Linked DNA regions of Oryzias latipes. The protein of the gene in region 3 interacts with the protein of the main gene of each other region in a pairwise test. Links are inferred from orthologs where the notes say so. Each region holds a gene or a part of one and is shown on either strand. Other genes may lie near its edges.

The links.
Region 1: the proteins of uncharacterized protein LOC101165509 (region 3) and pdcd10 interact in binary tests that used the Homo sapiens proteins (3 or more experiments, as listed by UniProt). The two-hybrid records come from large-scale screens. The link is inferred for Oryzias latipes from reciprocal best matches to the Homo sapiens genes PGCKA1 and PDCD10.
Region 2: the proteins of uncharacterized protein LOC101165509 (region 3) and eif3e interact in binary tests that used the Homo sapiens proteins (3 or more experiments, as listed by UniProt). The two-hybrid records come from large-scale screens. The link is inferred for Oryzias latipes from reciprocal best matches to the Homo sapiens genes PGCKA1 and EIF3E.

Annotation. Positions count from the first base shown.
Region 1 is NC_019880.2:9,011,109-9,015,219, forward strand, and holds the start of pdcd10 (programmed cell death protein 10), read right to left. Parts: upstream 2,894-4,111; 5' UTR 2,764-2,893; exon of another isoform or gene 2,540-2,763; intron 986-2,539; 5' UTR 809-985; coding exon 719-808; intron 411-718; coding exon 357-410; intron 1-356. UniProt on the Homo sapiens protein: Promotes cell proliferation. Modulates apoptotic pathways. Increases mitogen-activated protein kinase activity and STK26 activity. Important for cell migration, and for normal structure and assembly of the Golgi complex.
Region 2 is NC_019874.2:3,407,273-3,410,926, reverse strand, and holds part of eif3e (eukaryotic translation initiation factor 3 subunit E), read left to right. Parts: coding exon 1-23; intron 24-350; coding exon 351-475; intron 476-3,654. UniProt on the Homo sapiens protein: Component of the eukaryotic translation initiation factor 3 (eIF-3) complex, which is required for several steps in the initiation of protein synthesis.
Region 3 is NC_019876.2:15,196,277-15,199,498, reverse strand, and holds the end of uncharacterized protein LOC101165509, read left to right. Parts: intron 1-1,041; coding exon 1,042-1,756; 3' UTR 1,757-2,588; downstream 2,589-3,222. UniProt on the Homo sapiens protein: Acts as a tumor suppressor. Acts as a tumor suppressor for colorectal cancer cell proliferation by targeting KEAP1/USP17/ELK1/CDK6 axis.

The DNA.
Region 1 (4,111 bases), on a different chromosome or scaffold from region 3:
TCATTATAAAAGATGTAAAATATTATTATTATTAATTTCTGTTGCTTTTAAGAAGGTGAATGGAAAAATGACTTTGGTGAAAAATCTCAGCAAGTTCTTTTTTTTTAAAGCTAAATTCAACATGAAGGAAGTTAAACACAGAAAAGCTTTTTTCTTTTTTAAAGCAGAAGTCATTCATTTAATTTCCAGATGCCCTCCCCAACCATGAAGACGCATAACTCAACAATAGGATTTATTTTTTTAAATTACTGTACCCAATTGCTATGACACACATTCATACTCTTTGCAACATACATATGACAGGAGTGGGATCACATGATTTTACATTTCCTCTTGGTTGATTCACGAGGTCTCACCTTTATGAAAGCTGCCCTGAGCGTCTGAGCTGCTGATGGATTGATTCTCTCCAGCTAAAAAGAAGAAACAAAGAAAAAAAGTACAGGCCATTAAAAAACAAAACACACCAGGACAGAGAGCGGTGCTTAGCGTTAACAAAAACGTTCACAGAAAAGAGAAAAGATTAGAAACAATTTTTGAGAAGCATTTACTATTACAAAATTTTGAAAAAAGTTCAGAAATATCAATTCTTCTACTTTAGGTACTAAATTTGGATTTTATGATAAGAGAAACATCTGTCAACTTCAATTAAAACTCTATAAAAAATATGTATTTTTTGGACTAATGTTTTTTCATTTTTTAATTGTGATGGCAATGTTACCTCATTAAAAACTGGGAACATCACAGCATACAGCGTCATGGATACCATGGAGTTAGTCTCCGCTTCATTCTTCATCTCCTCCATTGTCATCCTCCAGGGAGGAGCAGCACTTGTTAAATTAGTGACAAAGAAAGTGCAGCTCTCGCACACTCACACATACACCCACTCACATACACACACAATCACTCACACACACAGACACACACACACACAGACACACATACACACACACAGGACAAGCCGCACAAGTTCCAGAATGCAAGTGACCTGCAAAGAAAATAAAACAACAATAGACGGTTATTGATGAAGGTTAGAAATTTGATTATCTTTATAAAAACCAGCTTTTGGTTTCCATTAACTTGATGGTGAATCATTGGTTTTACTTTTACAAAGATATTAGTCCTTGTTCAATTACATCGGTTCCAATTCCGCAAGAAAATAATTTCTAGATATGAGCCGAAATAATTTACAGAACTTGGTACCGAGAGGAAAAACAGAATATTGCTTAGCCTTGCTCCTAATTGGGGAAGTAGCTCTTCTATCTACAAGCTCCATTCATTCAAATATAAATTTCAAAACATTGTTGGCACATTGTGCAAAGGCGCAAATATTAGAGTAAAATCCATAAACAGATTTTTTTTTAATGGAAATAGACTGACATTCCAGCTACCATTAGAAAGAGCAGCTGGAATGGACAGCCTTAGGTTTCAGTCACACTTGACCTGTTCAAGTTAAAGAAAAAGAAATGATCCAAGTTAGTTTACAGCTTGTAAATGTTTCACTAATGCCATAACAGGGGTCTACCATAAAAGGAAAAGGAAAATAAAAAAATACCTGACTATATATTAGTCATAAAGCACAAAGGGGTAGGTACCAAGTGCCACTTCAGGGGGGGTACTTGGGGTTTTTAATAAAATAAGAAGCTAATTATAATTGTAAAAGTATAATGAAATCTAAATCCAATTTTATTATTGTTAAAGATATTTCAATTAAGATTTAAAATAATTCTCTATAATTCGTTCATAAATACAATTTTGTACCTACATTTATAGACTACTCTTATGAATTTACATTAAACCCCCAAAAAACAACAACATAGGGGCTTACCTAACCTAAAATGTTTTATGTTTTTTTTTTATCTGCAGAGATAAAACTCAAATTAAAGTTTTTCAAATAAATCTACAGTGCCACATAGTAGTTTGTTCTGTGATGATTAATAGCAGTTACTAAAAAGTAAAATCTGAAAAATAAAGAATCATACGCTAACCCGCCCACACAGAGGCTATGTTTTGACGCCAAAGGTAAGAGAACCTGTTGACTTTTTTAATTTGGTTAAGGGGAGTGGCACGCTTTAATAATGTTCCTTTTTTTTTAACAAAACCTCACTGTGAACTTAACTGAAAATCTAATTTAAATCTAATTACTTGACAAACAATATTATTATCGCTAAGTTTCTAAAACGCAACATACGTAAAGAAGTAACTAGTCACATTAGAAAAAAAAAAACTACTTCACAGACTAGGTAAGAATGACAAGTGTTCGTAGATGAAATATTACTGAAAACGGTGAGTGTAAATGCTTAAACAAAAGGAGACAAAGTTGGTCTAGTTTTTATTCGTATAATGGTGTCTGAAGCGCTGCTCGTCTCAGTTGGAAGCTAAACTGACCAGTTAACACTAGCTACCGAAATACAGATAGCCCTAGTAGGTGGTAGTGCTAACGAGCTATCAGAAAGGCTAAGTCGCTGACGTATCATAAAATTAAGAAATGTATTTTAAATAAAACGAAGTAATGTCAATGTTTAAAAAACAGCACTATTACCTGTTGGTGTTAAGTCACACATGTAAATCGATCTAATTTTAAAGACATTCACTTGAGGCCTATAAGCGATCGAATCGATATTAGCAAACTGCTAGCTTTGAATAGCGTAGCTAGCTCAAATAAATTGAAGCTTTAATCCCAAACGGCCCTAAACACTTACACAAACTGACTGCGCTGCGCAAATTATCCTATACTTGTAAAAAAAAAACGATATTTGGTTCTACCTTTGATCTGACTTCTTTAAACTGCTGGCTATTCCGTCGATTGCCTTTTAGCTCCTGTGTTTTCTTTACAACTTGAGGCGGAAGTTTCTTCGGACTGGCCCGAACGACATTTTCCGGACCATTGCTACGTAAACGCCCATTTATCCAATCAGAGAGCGGAAACCGAAACTGTGCAACATACGTCATTTAAATGCTCGCGTTTCAATCGTTGCAATCATTTTTCGAGTAAACAGTACTTTTATGGTTTCACATAATTAAATAATAAGCGAATATAAAATAACATCAATAATAAAATACTTTAAACAATAATTAAAAAAATTCATGATAATAACAATTACACACCAAAAAAAACAGGATGTATTTTATACCATGAACATAATTGGTAGTAACTCACAATAAAAGTATTTAATTACACAAACACTCAACTTTGTAAAATAACAGTTATGTAAAGTATTACCAATAAATATATTTTACATTTCACTCAGTGAATGTTTAGTAACTCTTGTATTACAACAGACTTGCCACCTCAGCAGTAGCCTATAGGTGTTGTAGGTCACTGTACGCTTTTTCACATTTTTGTCTCAAATTAAATTATGGAGACAAATTTCCTGTTAGGATAACTAGACCTAAAAAAATTATTTCCTTTTCATGTCAGGTCCATTTCACCCCTTAAATCCATATCTGCCTGACCTGTTGTTGTAAGTTAAGGGTGGTCATATTAACCTACTTCAAGTAGCATTTTATTTGTGGATATTAGTCTTTTAGAGGTACATAAGGCTTTTTTTTAGAGTAGTAATACTTTTCAAAAAAGTATAGACTAAAATGCCACTTTAAATTGTTATGGTTTGCTTGTGCAGGTACAAGCTTAAAGGTAATGCTTCAGGAGACATGTGAAGCAGTGCGATTTTGAGCCAGAATTCTTTTAATACAAGGCATTACTTCAGAAATGTGTTACGTTTTGGAAGTAACTTGCAAAAAACTGATTATAACCAAAGTAAAAGAAAAATTAAACATGTTTACTTAAAAAGGAGTAAAAAAAAACAAAACACTCCATTTCCACCACCCAAATGATGGTGTTAATTTTTTATATTATTTACAATTTCTCTATTTTTTATTAGGTTCAAGAAGTTGTCATCAAACTCTTTCAACCCTTTAACTATCCAACCAAGACAAAATCAAATTTTTAAAAAACTGTTTTTTTCTGCTGCTAATTACCTTGGGGGAGTAATTCACACAATGTTTTTTAATCTCAATTTTTCTAAATGTGCTCTACTGTTTGGTGGAGCAGGCAGTTGAGTGTGAACGCTGATCTGATTCTGCCCTCTGGAGGAAGAGCAGAAGAACAGTT
Region 2 (3,654 bases), on a different chromosome or scaffold from region 3:
TGAGAGAGACTATTGATAACAACGTAAATGCCCTACTTCTCAGAATTTGATACTGCATTTAGATACTCTTACATAGACTCCCATATTGACATTTCACTTGCAGTACAGCTTTGCTGTGGCATTTTGTTTCTCACCACATGTACTCATCTGACTACCTAAGAACTCCAACCCGAGCATGAAGGTGTTGCTGGTATTTGATTGCCTTTTAGAGGACAAGCAGACATTTTTTTTCCTGTTGTACTTCAGTGAAAAGTCCAAGGTTTAAGGAGTTTTTGACTGCCCCCCCCCCCCCTTGTTTATTGTGCGTGTTTCCTCCTGCATGTTTGGGTGTCTGGCGTGGTCCTCGACAGTCTGTGAGCTCCCCTCTCCAGTCTCTCCAGCAGAGGACATGGCTCATTCACTGGTCTCTCTTCGTCTTCTTCAACCACCCCAAAGGGAGAGACAACATCATCGAGCTCTTTCTCTATCAACCCCAGTAAGTACTTTTATCTTCTTGTAGTGTTTTTTATCTAGAGGATCAAAAAAGTGCTCAGAGGTTAAAGAGAAGAACCTTTTTTGTTAAATTCTAAGAACTTTAGACTATTTATCAATATAGCTACAAGTATACTTGGAGTTGTAGCACCGCTATACTACTTTTATAAGATTATATGAAGGTTTTTTTGGCTGTTCTTCATCACTAGCACAGAGGAATCTGTCTGCTGACAAGTTTTTTCATTTACCCGGGTGCAGTAAAGATACTGCTGCAGGAAAAAAAGGGTTCCTGCTTCTTTGACATGAAGTTGACTTAAATGAACATTTGTGCTTCAACAACAGTTTTTGGGTGGTGGGCTTCCTTGTGAACCCTGCTGGTATGTTGCAAGTGGTTTCAGAAGTGTGTGTTTTTCGTGTGGTCTGTTTACTCTCCAAGCCCAGAAGCAGGCCATGTGTATTGCAGATCGGAAACTTTATACACTGTGTTAAAATTTGCACACCACCCAATTTGATGCCTTTGCACCCCCTTTACCCCCCTTCCCAGTTCTGATTGCAGGCTTGTGTAATTGTACAGATGATTGGCCTCCACAGACAGTATGACAGGCGACCACAACACAGCACACTCAAATGTCTGGTTGCCTGAATTTTACTTGGTTTTTCATTTTATTGTGAATGATTTAAGGGGGCCAGCCCAATAATTACTCATGAAAAGTGCACCCAGCCATCTGTTTGGACAAACTGAGGTAGTTTTGTGTGCTTTGCATTTTCACAGTGTAGAAACCTCATGTTTTCCCCACTGGAGCTTGGTTTGGCTTTGGTTTCCTATCTGTTGACCAGCACTTCCTTTGGCAGCAGTTGGTGACCAGCGGCTGGCCTTCAGCTCCACATTTGACCTCTCTTACCCCTGCAGTCAGCAGATGGGCTTTCACAGCTTGTTTCTGCAGCATGCACATTCTACATGAGCTGCAGCACTAGTTAGTTGGGTTAAAGCAGCTTTGCACAGGTGTCAGTCATACAAATATGAACTCCAGAGGTTACTGCCAAGTTACCGTAATTTCCAGATTATAAGCCGCTACTTTGGTCACACGCTTTCAACCCTGCGGCTTATTCAATGATGCGGCTAATTTATGCATTTTTTTCTTTTTAATGCATTTTTTCTAACCGCCACTAGGGGTGCTCGAGCAGAAAGGGTAAGAGAGAGACGGGGAGAATACGTTATATGTGTCGAGAAAGACGCAAGTTTAATGTAAATTCCTGCTTTGTGAATGAATAGTACAAACAGACCCTCATCATGGAAAATGCAAGAAGAAATGCATATGCCGCAGCTTTCAAGTTAAAAGAAGTGTGAAAAAATCCACCATCGTAGGTACGGGTTTGGAAAAGCCGGTGTGCTGCGTGACGGAGAGGACAGCGCAAGCTCAGGAGAGAATTTACCTCAGGATGAGAGTGACACTGACAACTACAAGGAAGGAGAGACTGAGAGAGAGTGTAGCGAAAGAATATCTGACGCTATTTCAATACGTCACTGAGGAGGAAGACTTCCATGGTTTCAGTGCACAGACGCACAAACGCGCTGCTGCTCTCAGTGACTTTTACCGGTATGCTTTTTTTAACCAGTCCTGTTAGAGCTGTTACTACCATATTGCTGCCGCGTCACATGCACTGTTTGGAATAGAGCTGTGACGGTGTGGGATTTTTGAACACCTCTGTGATGAAGCAGCAGGAGCTGCAGTGCTGTGGTCCGCGCCCTACCCCCATCACAAAATCCCCCAACGGCCGTTTCGCAAATGAATACCGGTACGAGTAATAATTACAACACAGTATTCTTTATTAACAAATAACAGTAACTACTAGCTATCTAATGAACTAATTCTATAGGTGTTGTAGAATGAGTATGTGTGTCAGCGAGCTGTGTGTAAGAGGAAGGAGCCTCCCTTTTGCGCTTCACGAGTTCTCCCCTCGCTCCGCTTTTACCGCTCCCTCCTCTTTCTTACACACGCAGCGCAAGATTTCAGCACATCCTCAATCAACAACACATGTTTCAATGTGGGCACATGCGGCTTATAGACAGGTGCGGCTTTTGTATGTACAAAATGTTTCATCCTTTAAAAAATGTTATGGTTGCAGCTTATAATCAGGTGCGCTCCATAGTCCGGAAATAACGGACCTTTTTTTTTTTTTTGTTTTTTTATTCTCCTCCAGACTCCTTGTGGTGATCCATAGTATTGTAGTTTTGGCTCTGGAGTTTAAGTCGCAGATACCAAAATATTCATAACAAAAGAAAAAATCCTAGACCGGTGGCACTGGAGTATAAGTTAAACTTTTGGGAGCAATGTATAAAATACGGGACCAAGAACAGACATTTCATCTTGAAAGGCAAATCATATCAACAGAATAGACAAGAAGAATAGACTGAATATATGCACACTTCACTACCGTAAAACATTGATGCTTATTTAGATTCATAAAACACAAGAGGAATCTAGTATTTTGGCACAACATATGAACAATTATTCAAATACCCATCACATAAAGAACATGCTAACAAGTCAACTAAGCTCTTTATATCACTTCTGCAGAGCCCACTGTAAAGGCCCGTACACACCGGGCCGAATTTCGCGCGCGATATTCGCCGACGTTGAACACCTCGTGACTAAACAAAGGGCACCAATGTGAGTGTGCACACCGACGCGAAAAACGCCACGCGTAAAAGCGTCATTTTTAAAAAAACGCCTCGGGTTTGTTTTTTTGGTTTGACCCGCCGCGTCAAAGACTATTCGACCAATGAGAATGGCGCTTTTGCACACGTGTCTGGAGCTTCTGAAGTTACAGTAAAACACAACTTGGGGGTGCTCAAACACAAAACTGTCTTGCTGAGCACACATACGTCACGGCGAAGAAGATACACGCCAAGTACCGTCAACACTGCCGCGAAGAAATAAGACGAAGATGCAACTCACTGACGGACATTTTAAAAATCCCCGAAAACGCTCATACATTTTCAGCTCTTGTACCAGTCGATAAAACTCCCCATGTTCTTCTCTTCTCGTAACTATGGGATGTTCCCAAAATCGACGTCTTTTCCGACGTCTTTCATCATTCAACAGAACAATCATTTCTTCATCGCTGGAACTGGAGCTGGAGCAACTGATGCTTGAAATATTCATGTTTTCTTTGTATGAT
Region 3 (3,222 bases):
ACAAAAAATGACTCACTACTACCTAACCCCCAAAGGACTATGTAGTTCAGGACTATCTACTGCTCTGGATTTTAACGCAATTCGGACACCATGCTCACTACATTTTTTTCAAATGATAGATTGTTCTAACACAATGCATTGTGGTTCGGGGCTGCTCAATATGAGGAAAACCTGCGATCTGCGAGATTAGTGATCAATATTGCGATAATGATATAACTTGCGATACATAAACATATCAAAAATATCAATTCCATTTCACTGCAACTGTTTAATTTGAATAAGAGTCGACATAACTTGGTCAAACGCATAAAGGGATTTATTTGATTAATTAAATAATTCAAGCTGCCATAAGATTGTTTAAGTACATTTACTGTAACCATTTATTGCAATTTTTGCCGTCTTTTACGATATGCGTATTATGAACACCTGGATACTGCGATAACAATATATTTGCAATTTATTGAGCAGGCCTAATTATGGTTTATATTCACCAGTTCTACCTTTTCTATTCTAATCTTTAGCAGGGACTTCTGAGAAATTTCCAGAGCTCTGGATTTTATAATTGTAGATTCGGACACCCCTGCAAAACGGTGAACACCCGCACACCAAGTAGTGAAAAGTGAAGGACTCTGATAAAGCCAGGACTCCTCCCTCTTTTTAGCACTTGTTTGATCTCAGTTATTTAACAAAGTTTATTCAAGGTCACTGCATTTGGTTTTCTTTTGAATTATTTTATCTAACCCCTTTAACACTGGAATAACATTTAAATAACATAGCCTAACTCTTCGACTGATAACCTAATCACTGCTAATCGGCTGATTCTGACGTGAAGAGAAATGGCCTTTCTTATCGTCTTTGCACCAATTCGCAACACATTTCTAACATAAAGTTTAGCGTATCGTGCAAGGGCCCATTTCTCTGCTTCAGAATTTGCTGGAACTACGCTAATTGTGTAGACGGTTACGGTAGTCGAAAGAATGTAAACACTGGAACAGGTTTCTGGTTGCAGCTCTATAACTGACCGTCCTGTCTCCCTTACAGCTACATCTACGACCCCTCTGTGGCGGTGGAGGAGCGGAAGGCCGACTCATCAGGCAACTCCCTCTACCAGTCCCACCACCAAACAGCAGGGGGCCTCAACAAGCAGAAGCAGGGCTTCCACAACCTGGGCTACAGCAGATCCAACGACAGCACGCTAAAACTGGAGTTTGACAACAACCAAGTCAACCACAGGCTGCACGCCGCCGGGAGCGCTGCCCCTGTGGAGGCGGGGCCGTACATCATTCAGCCCGAGGTGCGATGGGAAGACAGAGGGACGAGCCAGGTGCCAATTTACCCCAGCATCCAGGAGTATGAGCGGCAGAGGTGCTGCACCGAGACGCAAAGGAATGGGTGGGACTCCTCCATTAGCCCGCCGGGGAAGACGGGAGGCAGGAGCTCCTCGGTCGACGAGATAGACGAGGGCGTGGGGGGGACTCCGGAGTACACGGGCGACACAGGAGACGAAGGGAGCGTCTTGTCCGTGGACATCCACACCAGCACCACCAGTTTGTCCTCAGCCGGCACACGAGACGGCCTCACTCCGCCAAAGACTTCAGACGTTTCCACCGAGGAGAGCGGGATTTCAGTGACGAAAAGCGAGGATGAGGAGGAGGTCAAAGACGAGCTGGAGGAGGTGCAGAGCGTCACAGACTCCATGGTGGCAGAAGCCCTCGCTGCGTTGGAAGCAGCCACAGCTGGAGAGGACTCTGAGTAGCAGAAAAACCAGAACCAGACTCAAAGAGACTCAGGGAAACCAGAGAATATGAAGAAATGCTTTTTAGACAGATTTATTTTGGAACTATTTTTATAAATGTGAAGGAACATCATGTCTGCTTTCTTATGAAGGGCTCTTCAATTCCAAAGGCTTGAATAATGACTGAGGAGACACCAGTGTGAACTGAATACCCCCTGTGGCTGTTTCACACTGTGTACTTAACACTCCACAGTCCGGAAAACCACCAATGTGCTCACACTCGCCACAGAGGGGTTTATTCAAAAGGTTGGGGGTAAGACCTGCAGATGATATGTTACCTAAAAAGTGCAGACGATTGATAGGAAAGACGAAGAGACACTTCTCAACATTTCCTTCTTTCTGATTTTAAAATAAAGCTAAATAGAATCAGCCAACAAACATTTTTGTGGAAAAAACTGCTTTGTTAGTAGTTTCTTTGCAACATTGATTTTAGTTTAGGTTTTCATATGCGACCTTCATAACTGACCTTTTACCGCCAGAGCTTCACAAAGGTTAGCTCTCACTAAATGGTGTGGAGAGCTTCGTTTCTCATCTTATTTCTCCTCCTGTAGGTCAAGCCTTGTGTTTCCCGTCCGGTCAGTGACATTAGTTCAGTGCCTAGTAATGAACTAATTGAGGCCAGAAACAAATAATTATGAGAACGAGTGAAATAAATGATCTGTTAAATTAATGAAGTTCAGCCTTAGTTTCAGAGCCAGCGCCCTTTCCCGGGGGTTTGCTCGCCAAATCTTTTCCGCTCGTTGTATTTGTGTTGAGAACGTTAATACAAGTGCAATAAAGTTGTGTTCAATCATTTGTTCTCTTGCTGTGTTTTTCAAATGCTAGTGTCTTGAGAAGTGAGCCGGCTAGCAGTGAGCTAACTTGCTAGCTTATCAAAAGTAAACCCCGGTTTATGTTCAGCTCTGGCAGAAGCATATTACACAAGTCAAACATGTTTGAATTCTTTCATTTTTGTGTTGTTGTTTTTTGTGTTTTTTTTTATTATGAATTAGTTTGTTAGCATAAGCAGTAAAGTCAGTGTTTCTTAGCATAGACTACTAAAACAGTGAGCGTTAGCATAAAATGTTCAGTCAGACTGTGTTGGCATAGATGAAGTCGGCTTGTCTTAAATAGTCTCCTAAATTTGCATATGTTAGCATAGACTTCTGAATTGCCGTGTGTTAGCCTAGATTGCCTAGCCAGCATAGACTGCTGAGTCAGCATTTAAGCATAGACTGGTGAGTCAGCAAATGTTAGCTAGCATGGACTGCTGAGTCAGCATGTTAGCATGGACTGCTGACTCAGCGTGTGTTAGCATAGTCTGCTAAGTCAGCATAGTAACATGGTAATACTGGGCAGAGGTTCTTGAAGTAGAAGCTTCTCCCAGAGAACACATCTAGCTGATTGGTGCAGATTTAGTTGACTCGTCCATCTGGGTGGAGGCCTAA